5 linked regions of the Nothobranchius furzeri genome follow. The protein of the gene in region 1 interacts with the protein of each later gene in a pairwise test. Links are inferred from orthologs where the notes say so. Each region holds a gene or a part of one and is shown in the gene's direction. Other genes may lie near its edges.

What was found.
Region 2: the proteins of pih1d2 (region 1) and igf2bp3 interact in a two-hybrid assay, tested with the Homo sapiens proteins (2 studies listed by BioGRID and IntAct). The two-hybrid records come from large-scale screens. The link is inferred for Nothobranchius furzeri from reciprocal best matches to the Homo sapiens genes PIH1D2 and IGF2BP3.
Region 3: the proteins of pih1d2 (region 1) and gfap interact in binary tests that used the Homo sapiens proteins (3 or more experiments, as listed by UniProt). The two-hybrid records come from large-scale screens. The link is inferred for Nothobranchius furzeri from reciprocal best matches to the Homo sapiens genes PIH1D2 and GFAP.
Region 4: the proteins of pih1d2 (region 1) and eif4a2 interact in binary tests that used the Homo sapiens proteins (3 or more experiments, as listed by UniProt). The two-hybrid records come from large-scale screens. The link is inferred for Nothobranchius furzeri from reciprocal best matches to the Homo sapiens genes PIH1D2 and EIF4A2.
Region 5: the proteins of pih1d2 (region 1) and spred1 interact in binary tests that used the Homo sapiens proteins (3 or more experiments, as listed by UniProt). The link is inferred for Nothobranchius furzeri from reciprocal best matches to the Homo sapiens genes PIH1D2 and SPRED1.

What each region holds. Positions count from the first base shown.
Region 1 is NC_091753.1:48,839,198-48,843,204, reverse strand, and holds the start of pih1d2 (PIH1 domain-containing protein 2), read left to right. Parts: upstream 1-1,205; 5' UTR 1,206-1,696; coding exon 1,697-1,879; intron 1,880-2,430; coding exon 2,431-2,557; intron 2,558-2,622; coding exon 2,623-2,856; intron 2,857-2,945; coding exon 2,946-3,220; intron 3,221-3,363; coding exon 3,364-3,498; 3' UTR 3,499-4,007. Other genes in the region: tmprss5 (transmembrane protease serine 5), read left to right, coding at 258-410, 758-766.
Region 2 is NC_091751.1:26,461,692-26,464,665, reverse strand, and holds part of igf2bp3 (insulin-like growth factor 2 mRNA-binding protein 3), read left to right. Parts: intron 1-1,083; coding exon 1,084-1,206; intron 1,207-1,320; coding exon 1,321-1,395; intron 1,396-2,541; coding exon 2,542-2,673; intron 2,674-2,749; coding exon 2,750-2,863; intron 2,864-2,945; coding exon 2,946-2,974. UniProt on the Homo sapiens protein: RNA-binding factor that may recruit target transcripts to cytoplasmic protein-RNA complexes (mRNPs). This transcript 'caging' into mRNPs allows mRNA transport and transient storage.
Region 3 is NC_091745.1:10,095,908-10,100,123, forward strand, and holds the start of gfap (glial fibrillary acidic protein), read left to right. Parts: upstream 1-1,413; 5' UTR 1,414-1,430; coding exon 1,431-1,969; intron 1,970-3,282; coding exon 3,283-3,343; intron 3,344-3,437; coding exon 3,438-3,533; intron 3,534-3,615; coding exon 3,616-3,777; intron 3,778-4,216.
Region 4 is NC_091751.1:69,527,093-69,531,264, forward strand, and holds the start of eif4a2 (eukaryotic initiation factor 4A-II), read left to right. Parts: upstream 1-1,364; 5' UTR 1,365-1,492; coding exon 1,493-1,521; intron 1,522-2,170; coding exon 2,171-2,228; intron 2,229-4,172. UniProt on the Homo sapiens protein: ATP-dependent RNA helicase which is a subunit of the eIF4F complex involved in cap recognition and is required for mRNA binding to ribosome.
Region 5 is NC_091758.1:26,594,190-26,597,025, forward strand, and holds the end of spred1 (sprouty-related, EVH1 domain-containing protein 1), read left to right. Parts: intron 1-1,218; coding exon 1,219-1,347; intron 1,348-1,443; coding exon 1,444-2,130; 3' UTR 2,131-2,328; downstream 2,329-2,836. UniProt on the Homo sapiens protein: Tyrosine kinase substrate that inhibits growth-factor-mediated activation of MAP kinase. Negatively regulates hematopoiesis of bone marrow.

The sequences.
Region 1 (4,007 bases):
ACAATATATCTTTTTATCTTTGAGGGTTTCTTTAACAATGAAAATCTGAAATGAAATATAAACAACAAGGCTAATTTACACTGTAAGGAGTAGAAGACAGAGGAAATTGTATGAAAATTTAAGCAGCGGACATAGCATTTGCAGTGGAGTATGGATACCCACGATTTCTACTTAAGTAGGGTAACAAAGTATTTGAACTTGACACCACTGTTTGTGCTTAGAGATTTAGAGAAGAGCTTGTGCATCTACCTCTCCAGGGGGACAGTGGCGGTCCTCTGGTTTGCCAGGATGAGAATGTGTGGAGGCTGGTGGGAGTCGTCAGCTGGGGGACAGGATGTGCGGAACCAAACCATCCAGGGGTTTACACCAAAGTGGCTGAATTCTTGGACTGGATCTATCATATAATTGAGGTTTGGTTTATTTTGCTGTTAAAATAACAAAAAACCACAAAGATAAACAATGTAATGCCAACCCTATTGTGCTATACCGTTTAATCAAACAGCTGCAATATAGTTAGCAAATTAATTAGTTAAAAATTATAGATTTGTTTCAAAAACTTTCATTCTCAGTTGCTTTTTCTAGTAGTAGAAGGCCTTTTTTCCCTCTTTGCAATAATGAACTACAACATCAAAACTGTTTAGATCACATGAGATTGTTGACTACAGTCATTTGCATTATGTTTTTGCTCTGCAGCACTAAAGGCTGCACAATGAAACAATTTACACTGATTGCTAATGATCACTCTCTTTGTTTGCAGAGTTACTGAAAACAACAAACAAGAGGATGCCCTTAGTGTGTTTGAGACGTTATGAACAATCATACATTAAATACATATGTCAGTTATATGGTGTTCACATATGAATAGACAGAATGTATCAACATGTGTTTTCTGTTATATTATTTATGTACTGATAATAAAATCATGCTTCTTTTTAACACAATGGCTTGGCTCGCCTGACTGCAACATGATTTCTACCAACTCAACCACCCCCACCCCCACATATATCAGTCAATCTTTTAAAGCGTTACCAAGTTTTTTGCAGTGACAAAATTTGTCATAATGTATCCTAAATGTATTAGCAAACAAATTATAAAAACAATTCATAGAATTTTGAATGGGATGCTGGTATCTCTAAAATTAGAAAAAAAAGGAAGTATTTATTTGATGGAGAATTGCATGCAATGGGCAACATAGGTTCAGCCCTAATAGACCCACATTTAGCATACAGATCCGGGCCACATACACCTTAACCACTATTGGGTCATGTCTGGTATGTATTTAGTGCCAGAACTCGGCTGAAACGCTGGTTGCCATGCCAGCAGTCAGCCAGCAGTGCCATGCTGATGCCAGATCTGGCCCAGACCAGTCAGCTATGTGGGGTATGATTACTAAAGCTGCAGTTCATCTTATCCGCTAGGTGGCGACGATTTAAAGTTTTGTGGTTTCCATAGCAACGAACTTTAGCGCAGCTGGGGCTCTTTTTGCATCGTTAATGCTTTTATTACGACTTTGCTCGTTTTTAAATTCTTAAAACAATAACGACACTTTTTTTTAAATATACCACATACAAACCTTTTCCTCTATTTTTAACGCTTACACTCTAGCATTTTTCTAGCTTGTATCCCTCCTCTATTGAAGCTAATCGAACTAGCAGCAGGGGCTAGCTAGCTAAAAGTAGCTAGCAGGTAGCGTACCATGTCCTCGGCTGGCCGGACAGAGGATGTCCTGCAGCAGGTCAACCAGTTCTGGTCCATGCTGGATGACTTGTCTCAGAATGACCCAGCAGGATACCACAAATTCATCGAGGAGCAAATGAAGAAAGGAGCAGAAATATGTTCTCCACCTGAGCTCCACTCCTGCATTAAAACTCCAATCCTGGTAAGTTAAACTGGCGACAGGTGAGGAAGTTCCAGCCAGGTGTACTTCAGGAAGGCTAATATATGGAAGCCCCATGTATCATACATTCAGTCTCCATTTGTTGTTTTAGAAAAACATTTTTTATTGTTAAATATAAGTTTAGATGTTAATATTTAAATGTCCAATCGATAGTTATAATTTAAAACTCGTTAACGTCTACAAAAATCATTGAATTAGTTTTTATTTTTATTTTGGAGCAACAATGGTTATAATGTAACATTAGAGTAGCAACAACGGTGTGAAAATAAAATAAGAAATTCATAATCCATACTTCAACATTTTAGAATTAGCAAATATAATTTAAGAATAAATCTTCACTGCCCCAGCTTCAAATATCCACATTTTACCAGCCTAGAATGAAAATTCATAAATAAATGTGTAAGGATCAGTAAAATTTGTAGTTATTATTCTTTGATGAACAGTTTTGACTCGTGTCACGTTCATAAATGAAGTCAAACTTATTTATAATTTTGAAATGTCCTGTTGTGAGTGTACATCTGTGTTCTCATCAGGAACCAACACCAGGTTTGCTTTACATTAATATATGCAGCTGGAAAAGTGTACCTGCACCTCGGGATGACAGCAGTTCTTTACCGGTGTGTACAGGAAAACTGGAAACAGGCACCACTGAAGCCCAAGGTGTGTTTTATACCACAGGCCTGCTCGTTAAGACAAACATGAACTCAAAGCTTTTCTCCATGCAGGCTGGTTTGTCGTGTTGGATGTGGCGTTAAATCCGGCGGTGCTACAGAAGAATAAAGATAAAGACATTAATTATGTCTATAAGCTGGCCCTGAACTTTGCCCAGCAGCATCATGGGATGCAGCTATCTCAGGAGTTCAGTGTTGTCCGGTGTAGCCCAAATGGCAGCCCGGATCAATTTAAGTGTCGACTTGGGTTTCAGAAGCAGCACTACACATTCAAACCAACACAAACAGGTAAACGAGTGTTTAATCCCTGTTATTATCTCCGCTTAAGCTTAGTTTAGTCTGATATTTAAAATGTATTATCACCTTTCTTACCACAGTGAGTCAGACTCCACATTCCCTCCTGCAGCAACTCTCATCCCAGCAGTCAGGGAAACAGGAAGAGAACCCTACAGCCCAAATTATCTGTAGACCTGCAGAGCGACCCAAAAAGAACTTGATCCAAGTAATCTCTGCCACTTCTGTGGAGCCTCAGAAGCCAGAGTACCAACTTGAGGTGAAGACCAACACAGAAGGAGTTCTTCGCAGCCTGGAGCTGACAGTGGAGCTGCCAAAGGTTCGCACCGTGTCGGAGTGCCAGCTGAGAGTGTCAAAGGTTAGCAGTCACACAAACCCTCTAAGAGTTATAGCGAGTCACTTAAGAGTCCGTTGGGCTTCAGCGCATCGCTGGATCTGATAAAAACACATAACAGGTCTACAGGGAGTATTACAGAGTCCTGGATGCATTTTTCTCTGCAGGAGGATGTTCTTCTGGAGGTGGCGGACGTGTACCACCTGCTTCTGGAGCTGCCGGTAACTGTAAACGAAGACACCGCGTCTGCTGTCTTCAACAAGAAGAAACAAAGGCTTGTACTGACGGTGGATGTTTTGTAATCAGTCGCCATTATGGAGAAGCAAGAAATATAATAAACACAGAGATAACGGAGGATTCTGAGGCTAAACATACATCAAAGTAAACAAAAAAAAAAACCTTTCTAGGGAACGCACAGACGCTCAAACATACAACAAACATCTGCCTGGGAGTCGTTCCACGTTCAGCAGCAAGGGTTTGTTTTGGGGAAAACGTGTGGAATTGTCCCCATGTGGGCCAAAATCCACTTGTTACTTAACCTCTGTGTTAGTCTTTATAACATTCTGTGAAGGTTTCCTGATGTTTCGCTAGAGGTGGACAACAGTGAGATGCAGAACCCTTTTGTTGCTAATTTAAAGGGGAAATGGTTGAGTAAAATGATCCATGCAATAATTTATGTTTATTAAAACATCCAAACTGATGCAGAACAACAACAACAACAACAACATTTGGCAACATGGAACCTGTGAAAAATGTCAGTAAACTTTTTTTTCCCATTTTGAGGTTTCTGGACCGATTACAGCTTTAGCTA
Region 2 (2,974 bases), on another chromosome or scaffold:
AGAAATCTTCTTCCTGTCCGTGTAGTCTTTAGGTGTAACGGTTGTCTAAATACTATCTTTGGTCACTCAACGCATGATAAGTCAAACTGTGGCTTTCCACAGAATTAAATGCAACAAACAAGAGCTTGAAGCGGCCACAGTGCTAGACAGATGCCTCTTCTGATCAACCAGGGGTTTAAAGAGTTAAGTCTAGTTTATACGTCATCGTCTGCATCGGTGCGGAGACACGCAATGCCACTATCCGCCGTCGCAAGTGCGCTCTATCAACAGGCTCGTGAGGACGGATGGAGTCCAACCCACTTTTCCAAGTATTCGTCAAAAGTCACAGATCGCAAGAACTCCCGATAGGGAGCCTAAACCACCTCACTTTCCAGCCGGCTCATGGGCCCCCGGAAGAACAAAAAATAAATGCCAAGTCATCGGAGCTTAAAGAGCTAATTTTGCTTTGCTTCACGTGCTGGAACGCACATGTTGTACTGCAGTTTAAATGAAAACTAATGAGTGTTTGGACCATGCCAGTCACGTACTTTGATATTCATCAGGTAGTAAAAGTTTGTAATTAGCACGACTACAAATCGGACATGGGCACGTCACCACAGAATCCTCTCCCCCCCCCCCCCCCCCCCCCCCCCCAGCGTAGCTGCTACTCACCACATGGCCAGATTTATGGTACTTCTTTCCTCCTGACGGAAGGATTGGAGGTTCCCTGAACTTGCAGCCATTTTCCCGCGGTTTTTCTCCATGTCTGGTTCCATGACGTAACTTAAGTGATGCACATTTTTAGTCCTGGACGCATTTTCACACAAAACCTACATTATTTTTGCCCCTGATGCGAGTTCTTTGCATCAAAATGCCGTACCGACAAGTATAAATGGAAAATGTCTCTGTTAATACGTGTGCTCGTGAGCTCATAGCTGCTGATGGATTAGTATAAACTAAACCCAACTCCTAAATGATAGAACAGCTTCTGCTCCACCCACTTTCTGCAACGGCATCATGGTTGCAAGGACGACGAGTCGATGGTGTCCACGTGACATTTGACTGGTAGACTGGCCGCTGTAGAACCACGTTGTTTTTGCCCAGCAGGGACAACCGGAGTCGGAGACCGTTCACCTGTTCATCCCTGCACTAGCAGTGGGAGCCATCATCGGAAAACAGGGTCAGCACATCAAACAGCTGTCACATTTTGCAGGAGCCTCAATCAAGGTGAGTGACGGATGAAATGTGTGATGCTGAGCGTACGCCAGGAACATGATGAACGAACGTAAAGCTGTTTATTAATTCAGTGTGTGTGTGTGTGTGTGTGTGTGTGTGTGTCAGATTGCTCCTGCAGAAGGAATGGATGCCAAGCAGAGGATGGTCATCATTGTTGGACCTCCAGAGGCTCAGTTTAAGGTGAAGCTACCTTCACATTTAGGAGCAGGTTCACTGACCATCGTTTTACTCGGTATTGAAAACGATTGGCCGCTGAGTTAGCATGCAGGCTAAACGTGAAAACGATCTCCTACACCTATTTCCTGCGTTAGCCTCTGATAGAAAATAGACCAAAAAAAATGCTTGGTTCAGAAATGTCTGACAGGACTACTTAACATTCATGGACTCACCCATCTTGACTTGCAACGGGGAAGGCTGTTTTAGCATCAGGAAACGGCAACGTCTCTGCCTAGTAGAAGCTAACGTTAGCATTAGCAACTCCACTACACAGCAGAACTCCAGGCTTGTGTTACTGGTGCAAATAAAACATCAACATTGCAGCGCTAACAGAGTCGGTGGTTTGAGTCGTGTTGCTGTTAGCCAATCAGAGAAGAGATGCCTAAATATCAGGAACTACGACTCCAGATCCTGCCGTCTGAAGCTACTTTCTCCTCTGGCTTAATTCTCTGTGCTGAAACAGATGCCCTGGAACCGTCTTTCATCCCAAGCTCACTCCCAGTGCTCTTTGCTCGTACCTCAGCAGAACCGCAGCCTCTGCAAGCTCAAACGTATTGAGCACCACCCCTAAATGTACATGAACTCAGGTTGCTTGTTGTGATTTATCTATCTTAATTGGCAATAAAAATTTGCGTTTACTTAGAGTTCAAATTGATCATTTATGAAATCAAACGTTTTGCTTTTTATATTTATAACTTCAGCTTCGTACAAAACAAGAAAACAAAAAATTAAACAAATTTCCAAATAAATTAGAATAAATAAGTGTGTGTGTGTGTGTGTGTACATCACCCACACGTTAGAAAGGCTTGCCACTCCCCTGCCTTTCCCCTCTTCTACAGCACATGCAGGCGGCTCAGTCCTCCATTGTAGCTGCAGCGAGCCGGAGACATTAAGCCCCAACCCAGGGACTGCTTTCTAGCATGTTTTAGTGGTTTCCCTGCTCCAACATGCCTTTACTCAATCGAATCACCATTTCAGCCTGTTAATGAAAATCAAGAGTTTGGGCCCCCTGCCATAGCCCTTCATCTGTCTGTGAGCTGTTTGTGTGTTACAGTGACGTGTAGGTTCCCGAGTTTAAAAACCCCTTTACTCGAACCCTTCTGGTTACAGGCCCAGTGTCGTATATTTGGCAAACTAAAAGAAGAGAACTTCTTTGGACCCAAGGAGGAGGTGAAGCTGGAAGCGCATATCAAAGTTCCCTCGTTTGCTGCGGGACGCGTCATTGGAAAGGGTGGAAAAACGGTGAGAAGGTGACAGGATTTCGCACACGACTGAATTACTCATCAGTGCTACATTTGGTTCCTTGATGCATCTTCAGGTAAACGAGCTTCAGAATTTGACCTGTGCTGAGGTGGTGGTGCCCAGGGACCAGACGCCCGATGAGAACGACCAGGTCATTGTAAAGATTAGCGGACACTTCTTCGCGTGCCAGGTGGGTCATGAACACAGGCTTGATGAGGAGCTAGGGGGGAAAGACTTGGCTTTGTTCCTGATGGTGTCATTGTGTGGTCCAGCTGGCTCAGAGGAAGATTCAGGAGATCCT
Region 3 (4,216 bases), on another chromosome or scaffold:
TCACTTCACCTGCTTCCTGGCCTCATTAGGTAACATTGTTGCACTGAGGGACCCTTCTGGCCACTTACAGAAGAAAGCAGGTCACATTCTCTTCTTCCTGCTCGACTTTAGACGAAGAAAAAGTCAAGAGAAGATTTGCTGAAGTGCTCTGATGTAGCCGGCCCAGCGGTTGTCAAGGTAATGAGTCAAAAGGGTTTTGTAATGCAGCCTCCGTTTGTCATTCTGAAGTTCAGATTAGGTTTGCACTCACCGAACCCCCCCCCCCCCCGTCCTTCTTGTATTCATCGTCGTGCTCCTCTTCATCTACTCCGTCTATCTGTCTCTCCAAGCAGCCGGATGTCAAATAACCTGAAACTAGTTCACAATCATCAGAATCAAAATCTTGTAACTCCTTTTCTTCTTCTACAGCGGTTTGCATCCTCCACGATGATGACAGGATGAATGCTATCATTACCCACAAATGCTGAAAGGATGAATTCATGTATTACTCTACTGTGAAATGAGAAGGTAGCTTTATATAACTGATGATTATTTATCAGACCAGTGATTAAATCCTTTCTGAGAAATGTTAGCTCTGGTCCATGAACTATTTGATTGGCTTCTGCGTGGATCCATAACCAGTTCGAATTAAATCTTTATTTAATTTGTTACCAACAGCCTCGCAAACACTGAAAGCTTGAGCCACAGATGATCAGCAGGGTCTCTCATGTCAGACCTTTGCTGATTTGTCTTCCTGTTTATCTTTAAATAAAACTTTCAGAATGTGTTCATTTATTGTCTCCTCCTATACTTCCTTCATTTTAAGCATTGCAGATATGGATGCAGGACGGAAAACCTGTAACTCTAAAAATGAATCCAATGTTTTAAATTATTCTCGAGTTTATTAGCAGTTATGTCGTTACGTAACTAGATCCCAACAGGAATCGGGAGGAATGTTGATAGTTCAGTCCTACATCTTGTTTATTTAGAGCTCAAAGCATGCTGTGAGCATGTGATTTTATCTTCTGTCTTTATTGCCGACCTCCCCAACATGCTCTTCTGTTTGGACCGGTCCTCCTGCCGCGGCTGCGAGAGTGTGTGTGGTCAGGTTGAATTTGTGGCCAGACTCTGTTGCACAAAATTCCTTTTCATTCGCTTGGAACAGAAAGAAAGAGGGCGAACAAAAACGGGGCGAACGTAAGCGTGAAAGAGTGAGCCCAAGGGGAGAAAAGGGGGAGACGAGAGGGTAAAAAAAAAAATCCAGGAGACATTTGTAGTTGAGTGGAGGAGCACAGACAATCCCTGGCGCATGTAAACCTCCCCTTTGCCATCTCTTTTTGTTCCATTCACTGCCTGCCACCCTCCTCTCTCACTGCCCCAGCCTGTGGCCTCTCTGCTGGACTTGGGGTGGGGGGGTTTCTCCCTATATAAAAGCCCTGTTTGTCCCCTGAATGAGCTTATTCCCTATCATGGACAGCCTTAGAGCACAGTCCTCATACAGGAGACGTTTTGGGCCGCAGAGCTCAAGCAGCTCAGGAGGTAAAATAGGTGGACTATCTTCCCACCGCCTCTCCTGGCATGGCGCCCCTCGAAGCATCACCCACTCCAGCCCCGTCTCCCGGGTCTCCCTGGGCTCCTCCAGCACGGCCTTGCTGCTGGGCAGCCCCGTTGACCGGCTGGACTTCTCAGCTGACTCCTTGTTGAAGGCCCAGTACAAAGAAACTCGTACCAACGAGAAGATGGAGATGATGGGCCTGAACGACCGCTTTGCCAGCTACATAGAGAAGGTGCGGCTTTTGGAGCAGCAGAACAAAGTTCTGGTGGCAGAACTGAACCAGCTGAAGGGGAAGGAGCCTAGCCGCCTGGGGGACATCTACCAGATGGAGCTGAGAGATCTACGACGGCAGGTGGACGATCTCACCAATGGCAAGGCTCGTCTGGAGATAGAGAGGGACAACCTGTCTGCAGACCTGGGCACGCTCAAGCAGAGGTAGGAGAGAACGGTCCCAAAGTAGACCTGGGCCTTTGTGTGTCTTGTGTGCTCGCTGTCCTATTGATGCTTCACAGAAATAATGATGGGATTAAAACTTTTCCCCTAGTCTTTTCTTCCCATCAGCTTATAAATCCAGGAGAAAACCGGAACAGCCCCCAAAAAAGTCTCAGTGCTTCAAACTACATAAAGAGGAGTAATTTGACCTTGTGAAGAATGTTTTTGTTAATTCCTGTAAATACACCTGTCATGTCTGTATTTACGTAGCGCTTCTGTTTACATGTGTTTGTGGTTGGTTGGAATGCAGAGCGCTGTGGTCTGCCTGGGCTTTACTCCTCTATCCCTCTTTACAAACGTGATCCTGACTGAACCCTCGCTGCCATTCAGTCAGTGTGGAGGAATGAAGCAGCACAATGGTGGCGCTCCACAAAGGGAACAGAATGCCAGGCAGATGTAGCTTTCCTCTCTTTCTCCAAAGCACAAAGTCACCACCGCTGGTTATCCGGCTCCTTTTCTCCACATCCACCATCACGCCTCATGTCAGCTTTTTCATTTTGAGACAGGCCAATAGAAAGTCTCAGGGTGGAAACTGGAGGGTTTTTTTTTTTTTTGCCCTCTGACCAAGCAGCTGCTGGTCCTGTGAGAGATTGCAGGATGAATAGGGATGCTGCTGCTTCAGGGGTTAAAGGTCACCTTTTTTAAAATTCGTGCTGCTCTTTCTGTTAGCAACCTCTGCATGAAGCTGCATGATGTCACTCTACGTTTCATTTGCTTCTAGTGGGTAGGATCAGTCTGTGTGCTGCGCTGACACGGATTCTCTCTCTCTCTGTGTGTGTGTGTGTGTGTGTGTGTGTGTGTGTGTGTGTGTGTGTGTGTGTGTGTTCCATCCCGTGGGAAAGGTCTCCTCCGGCTGTTAGATTAGACTGGAAGTGTAATGATGCGTAAGCCGCTGCTCTTTCAGCTGAGTCCTGCCACTCCTCTGCAGCTCAGTAGAAGACAAAACAAAAATCTGAACACATTTTTAAAATACGTTTAATTTTTCTTAATTAAACTTTAGCTAACTAAACTTTGCGCAGGAGTTTGTTTTTTCTGACCCAAGGACCCCAGACATTGTGCTCTCATTTGTGATATATATATATATATATATATATATATATATATATATATATATATATATATATATATATATATATATATATATATATATATATACATATATACATATCAAATGTTTCAGAAATATTTTAGTGTAATTTAATTCCTCCTGGCTGGGAACTCTCAGTAAGAAGCTCTTCACATTTTTCTTGACTCAGGCTGCAGGATGAAATGGGCCTCCGACAGGAAGCAGAGAACAGCTTGAACGCCTTCAGACAGGTGGAAATATTAGTAATATTAAAAAATCTTTAAAATATTGACAATCTCAATGTTGTTTGCTGTCATCCTGCGATGTTTCTCATTATTCACACAGGATGTGGATGAAGCAGCGCTCAGTCGGGTCCAGTTGGAGAGAAAGATCGAGGCCCTGCAGGATGAAATTAATTTCCTGAAGAAAATTCATGAAGAAGTATGAAGAAACGCTGAAGTTGGTCCAAAACAACTAGACAGATTTTAGCAAAATCACGACTTTTGCCACGTTTTTCTTCCAGGAGCTGCGTGAGCTGCAGGAGCAGATCATGGCCCAACAGGTCCACGTTGACGTGGATGTGTCAAAACCAGATTTAACTGCTGCTCTGAGAGACATCAGAGTTCAGTACGAGAATATGGCCACTTCAAACCTGCAGGAGACAGAGGACTGGTACCGATCCAAGGTCAAATATTTTACTTTTAAAGGAGGGATTTACTCATTTATTCAATACTTGTGCAGTGTTCTTTAGTGTAATTCAATGCCTTATGAGCCATAAAAAAAAATAAAGCTATGATGCTCCTGTTATGAGATGCAGATGTTTTCTGGTGCAGAGATGGACTGAAAACAGTAGAATTACTCATTACTATTATTGAATTGCACACGTCTTGCTTCTGATTGGCTAACAGAACATGTTCAGCCATGTCACTGTCACCAAAACACCCTCCGCTCGCTCTCCCTGCTGCAAAAAAAACAAGCCTTCCTGTGGACGGGCGCTTGCCAAGATGGGCGAGACCATGAATGCAAATTCATAGTGTGACATAGATGTGTGAGGATTTTAAAATCCTAGAGTTTCACCATCTATTTTCTATCAGAAGGTAATGCAGGAGATAGGTGTAGGAGAC
Region 4 (4,172 bases), on another chromosome or scaffold:
CTTCATTTCAGCCCAGTCACTAGCGCGTTTTATTACAATGATCCAACGTTTGTGGCGCTCCGGATCTTGGGGAATCCTGTAGATGACTCATCCCTTATGTCGTCCGCGTCTGTTCTGCATCCTGGGGCTCAACGGGAATCTACCATATTTCCTGTTCGATTGAGTTTTCTGACAATAACAAATAGTCCAGCTGCCGGCTTCTGCCTGCCAATATGGCGCCGTTTCGATTTGAACTGTTGCATGCCGGGAGAAGTGACGTCAACTCCCGGAGCTCTATATCCTCTTGTTGCCCTTTCTTTTCTGCATAAATTGGAGCGCCGTGAACAGCTGCATGCCCACTGTTCAGCCTGATTTTGTTATGTGTCCTGTAATGTGCGGTAGGGCAAATCTCGGACAGGTTGTTCTGAAACTGAATTTCATTGTGCTGGGACGATGGCTCAATAACAATTAAAGTGATTGTGATTCTGAATAGTTCAGATTTTTTTACGTGGGAAAGTTACGGAATTTTGTTATCTTCCCTTTTTTAAAACAATCTTTGATTAACTCCAGTTTGGAGAAACAGATTACTTTTAACCAGACAGTTATTTACAGTTACAATGTGAATGTCTGTCATCAACAAAAGAAATGTTAAAGCAGTTGATATAACAGCTTTTTAAATACTATTTTTAAACGTTGCTACCAATTTTTCATTTAATGTTGCAGGAGTGATTTTCTACTGATTTTTGCTGTAAATATACTAAGATTCATATGAAAATAACAGTGTGTGGCCAACTGTACTACAGTGCCATGAAATGTTAGCCCAAACTGCTGTGATTTTTTTTAGGTTGGAGTTGTTTTACATGGCAGACACACACTTGTACCAGGCCCCATTTTGAGTGTTTGCTGTCTATCTGATTATCTGTGCTTCTATGAAGTGAAAACAATCGAAAAGCTATCTATAACAGACGAAGTAACCTTTCAACAAAAAAACTTCTTCTCTAGATCTGAACTGTCGCTTTGAGTATATTCCTCCATCAGTGTGTTAATTATTATCAAATCTTATTCCTTCTTTTAAAAATCCTGCCAATCAAGTGACTGCGGGGGAAAAAAACATTGTTTTATGACAGCATTTCAGTTTTTTCATTATCAACATTCATCATTGTTTGGAACCGGAAGTCTGGCTTCTAATATATTCCACAACCTAGTCACGATGAATTTTGACCCACCTGTTACACTATAGAGGTCGAGGTACTACCCCATTACTGCATTATACCTCCGCACAGAAATATAGTCTTGAGCGATTTAAACACATTATCAGTTTATTTACAAATATGTTGGACATAGTAAACTGTGGATAAAATGTCAAACACACAATCAATTAGTCAGTCAAATAATATTTTTGTTAACCAACGTGAGCTGTAGAGATGTCAGTGAAGATCGTCTGACTCCATAAAAGCAGTTGGCGTCGCCATTAGCGATCTTTTCAGTCGCATGCTGCGGTTGTGAACGGATCATGTCTGGCGACTCTGCTGATTACAACAGGTAATAAGTCTGCATTCAGTCACTTCCAGACACGAAACGTAATGATCGGTGTTACCTAAACCTTCGATTCCGGTTAGAAGTACAAACGGTAACTTAGTAATATGTCGTTAGCTAGGCCCTAATGCTGCTAGTCGGAAGTGATTTGGTTGCTAGTGTTAGCGGTTAGCCCCTAGGTTCCGCGCTGTTCCACATTTAAACGACGTCTTCGCTCTCCTCTCTGCGCTTGGCTACTCGGACATTTTTCCTGTTTTCGGTAGTGTGGAGGTAATTTGTCGGGCATGACCACAGCTCGGCCTAGTTCTCGGAAGAAACCGCTGTTGGCTTCACAGGCCCAATCACCCGACATATTAGCCAATAGCGGGGAAAGTCCATGTCAGAAAGCACTGAACGCGTGGGACGGTGATTTTATTTTATTTTTTTAATTTTCGAAATCACGTGTGCCGTAGTTGGCGTGTGAACAGTTCTCACATGGATAGAGGTTTCATAAGTGGGCATTTTCGGAGGGGCAGGTAGATGCGCCGGCAGTGGAATTTGACGCACGTGCCCACTGGAGCTCCAGGCAGCGAAATAAGACTCACTGGGCGTGACCCTCCCCCCTAATTTAAACTGCATTGAGTACATTTGAACCGGTAACGCATTTTTCTTCCAGCTCAAGAGACCGAGACCATGGAGGGCCAGATGGGATGGAGCCTGATGGTGTCATCGAGGTAACATTAAACACCACATATATGGAGCTATTACCCCTGGGTCGGCACGGCCCGGCCCTTGTAGGTTAGTTGCGTGTACATCTGGGTTATATGCAGGGCAGAGACCTTTGAAGAGGCGGGTGCTCAAAGTTCATAAAGGGGCACATATAGAGCAACATTTTTAAACAGATTCACCATCCAACAAGTTAAAAAGTTCACATAATGAGACTCTTGAAGTCTTTGGTGTGACCCGACAGAGAATCGAACCTGATCTCGCAGTCCCAGGGAGGACACTACCACTAGGCCACTGAGCTGGTCCCAAGTTGTCCTTCTGTCTGTATTTGTATTCGACACTGACTGAAGACAGCTCATGTCAGAGGTGGTAAAATATGAGTAAAGTAAAATAAATGCAACCACAAGAAGTTATCCAGCGTGATCTGCAGCTATGGTAGCTGAGATCTTTTCCTGTCTGTAAGAAGTTCCTGGTCCAATTCCACAATCTCACTCTGAACCCTAAACTTGAGAGCTCTGCTGCCAACCTAACACCCTTTACAGAAGGCCACACACACACACACATTTCATTTCCAGAATACTGCTATGGCCATAACTTTGCTTCACGGTGCTGACCCGGAGTATTTACCTCATTATTTATTTCTAGTGTTGTAATAACATGATAGTCAACAATAAAAATACACAATAATGTAATAAAACATGCAGTTATGCTCACATTCACTTTTACCATCTCTTGGTGGGCAGCAGAACATTTATCACATGTTTAACCCTCTTATGATCATAAATATAACTGGTATTGTTTTTCTGGCTGTGAAATGGTTCCAAAAAGTGCAAAATGTTTGTTACTCTGCTCCTTTTATCAGAACAACCTCAGCTTTCAGTGTCTGGTTTCTATTTAGTATTTATGTTGATCAAAGTCTGTAAAAATGCAGCTTAAATGAAAAAAAAATTGAAATTTTTACATTTATTACTAAATAGGAACCTCAAAAGGACTTGGTCAAACTATTTTTAATGAACAGTTTAAACTCTGAACTTAATCACAAACAGTCAGAAAACAGTGCGACCTCTGGCCTCATGTTTACCAGTTTAATGACCGCAGACCTGTCTGACCACAGGTCTGTGCTCTGGTTCAGAGAACGACATGAAGTAAAATAAATATTAGGTAAAATAAAATAACACTCACACATCACAACTGTCTGGAAATTTCTATCAGCATAATAACTATTGATAAGCCGGATAAAAAGTAATAACAAAAGGCGAAATCTAAACATTTCATGACAAAAAGTCAACTAATAAAATTCTGCACAGATATAAAATTATATTTTCAGCTAAATAAATATTTATTGTAAGTATAAATAATGCTGGAATGAAGCTGAATCTTACATTTGGTAAATAGTCGAGCGTTTGACAGTAATCAGTCACCAGGAGCTTCTGGGACATCTAAGGTGGATTTTCTTTGTGACGTTTCCATAACGTTATAAAATCTGCTGATGCAGGTGATCAGTTCTCTCCGCTTCGTTCTCCGCTCTCCCGTCGCGGTTTGCTCTGTTTCCTGTGATGCTGAAAAGCTAATGGCGATTTTCTTAATACCAACCGTTGGAATTATTTTCATTCGATTAGTTTTTATGACGCGGAGAATCTCCCGTGTCCTCTTTTCTGTCTCAGACATGCTGACTCTGCTCAACACGCACCAACCACGGACTCGAATGTTAATGTAAACAAAAGCTGATATTAAAATCCATCCAGCTGACGTGATGCAGGCAGAATAAAACACTCACAGCTAGCTGAGCGCAGACTCCAGCCGACGAGCAAAACGCCGGTTTCAGTCGTCTCCATGGCGACTGATTTAGAGCGACAGCAGGGACAGCCAATCACATGTTGGCACGACACGGCAGAGCTAAACTGTGAGCTTGTGGGCGGGTCTAAGGGTTCAGCATGAGGAGGCTGCCTCCA
Region 5 (2,836 bases), on another chromosome or scaffold:
TCCCTTTCTTGAGCTTTCACACAAAGACGCACACATGCATGCAACACAATCTCATTTTTTCCTGCTCTGTTCTTTCTCTTCTCTCTCTATCCTCTGTCTCCTGTTCCTTGCATTCCCCTGCAGACACTGTGGATGTGTGTTACGCCATTTGGTGTGTTTGAAGGCAAAGAAAGAGCAAAGTCACGCACATTCATGTGCTAGCAGTCGAGATGGGGGGGGGGGGGGGGGTGGAAGTCAAAGGAAGCATCTCTTAGCAACCACAGGACAGTAATTACTGTAGCAGCAGCTAGGAGCAAACCAGATTTCCGCTGTGCGTTAAAGCACTGGTGTGGGCTATTTTACACACGGCACTGACTAACCAGAGCCAGCAGCCTCCTCCACATGCACAGAGGAGAGAGGAGGAAAGGAGCTAACCCTGTCTTCATCAGGTTGATGTGTGAGACAAGAGGGCTAGCTGGACAGCGACTAGGGTTGGGTCGGAGTTAGGTGAGGTTACCTCAGTTTGCGTCAATGTTAGAAGTAGAAACAAAAGTCTCCTGAAGATCACATCCATCTTCATCTGTCAAACCTGAGATCATATCTGACATTTATTAGATGCTAATTCTAGACAACCACCCTAATTTCAACACTTGAGTTTTTCCTATCAGGTCAGTCGGTGCAAAGCGAAGAAAATATTTACTTTCATTTATCTCGTTGTATTGTTCAAAAGCATTTTTTTCTGGTGTGTGTTTGTTTGTGGGAACACATGCAAGCCTGATGGGAACTCTGAGTTCTTGCAACAGAAGGGCCTTGAGTCATCACCACACAACAAGTCATTTTGGCTGAGCGTGGGTGCAGGATGCCCCCTGGTGGTTCAATAACACACACACACACACACACACACACACACACATGGGCGAACACAGCCTACACACCTTGAGTCAAAGCTTTTCTAGTCATAAAAGCTGACCACTACTGCTCAACAGTGAAATAATATTCAAAGTGAGAATGTCAAATGTTTAAGCTGCAGTTTTGGTGTGTTTAATTATGTATTATTTATTGGTTAGTGATTTGGGTTGCTTATCAGGAATTCTAAACGTGTTTCTGCTAAATGTAGTAGTCACTGTAACGGCTATGAATCATGTTCTATATATGCCAAGGGGGCTGGTGTTCATCTAAAATTTTTAAAAGCCTTTTTTATTTTTGTGTTTAATAATAAACTCACTTTGGTTTCCTCAGGTGTGCAACGAGCCTCCCTCGATCTGCACCCCAATGAAAGAGACCTTCGTTGTCCCCACCGAGCCATTCCGAGGTTGCTACGTCCCAACGCAGCCCTTCAATGAAAACCGCCGCTACTTGCCTCCACCGGTGAGTTCCTGAAGCTGCCTCTTCTGTTTAAAAATTGCATCATGGAAAAACCTTTTCTGATTTTTTTTTTTATTGTTTCTGATGGTTTTCTTTAAGTCGACTCGTCGAGTCAGCTTTCACTTGGACGAAGAGGAGATTGTTCGCATCAACCCACGTAAAGACGTGTTCATCCGAGGCTATGAGGACTACCGCCACCCTGTCATGAGCAGACGCGATGCCGACCGCGAGGACATGGACTTCCCTGCATCTTTTAACAAACTGGACAGTAAGAAGTTTGAGTACCTTTTTCCTGATGGCCCCGGTGGAGACTCTCACTCTGGCCCCGGTTTGGGAATTGGAACAGGGATGGGGCTCGGGCTAGGCAAGGACACGGCCATCAAGACTCAGCCGTCGCCCCTTCTCAAGTCGAAGAAGGGCCGCCGGCGAAGAGAAGACGGCGAGCGCTCGCGTTGCATTTATTGTCGAGAGATGTTCAACCACGAAGACAATTGGCGGGGGCAGTGTCCGGATGCCCCCGACCCAATCAAGCAGTGTATCTACAAAGTCAGCTGCATGCTTTGTGCCGAGAGCATGCTGTATCACTGTATGTCCGACTCGGAGGGAGACTTTTCAGACCCGTGTTCGTGCGACACCTCCGACGAGCAGTTCTGCCTGCGCTGGCTGGCCCTGTTGGCGCTGTCGTTCATCGCGCCCTGCATGTGCTGCTACCTGCCCCTGCGCGCCTGCCACCACTGCGGCGAGGCCTGCCACTGCTGCGGGGGCAAGCACAAGGCTGCGGGATGACCCGACATCGGACACCGGGACACCCTCAAAGCTAGCTAACAAAGGCAGTGGATAAAAATGGAAAATGATTAGCCGGCATCCTTTTTTCATTCCTCTCCCTCTCAGAAGGGGAGATGTGTTGTTGATCCCCAGCTCTGAGGCTTTTTGGAGATTTCAGTTTGTGTTTGTCGCCGACAAGCAGCAGCAGCGGAGAACAAACTATTTGCTTTGCCGGAGCTCTAAGCATCAAGGTAAATGCAGGAGCTTAAACTGAGGCGAAGAGAAGGAGGAAACATTGCGAATAACAGACTTGGAGATGTTACACCTGTACACACACATTTACACACACACACACACACACACACCTCTCAGACCCACGCTCACGTTGGCAAAGCCAGGCCGCAATGTGTAACTTTATGAAGGAAAAGCGATAAAACAGACAACTACACCGTGTTGAGAACAAAAAAGCCAACTTCTTGCTGTTTGAGTATGCTAAAAGGGATGTGTTTGTGCTTTTTTTTTTTGTGGATTTGCAGATGGGTAACAGTGGCCTTTCCCTCATGGCTTAAGCGTTTGCTGACAATGTAATTACTCGCCAGAGAAACGTGCACTACATGATCATTTCCTCCAGTTCAAAATAACCTTTATGAAGTTCTTGTGGCATGTTGTCCAACATGTTTATTAGTGTAACTTTTAACATTTGGGAGATGTTTGTACTGGATGTGAA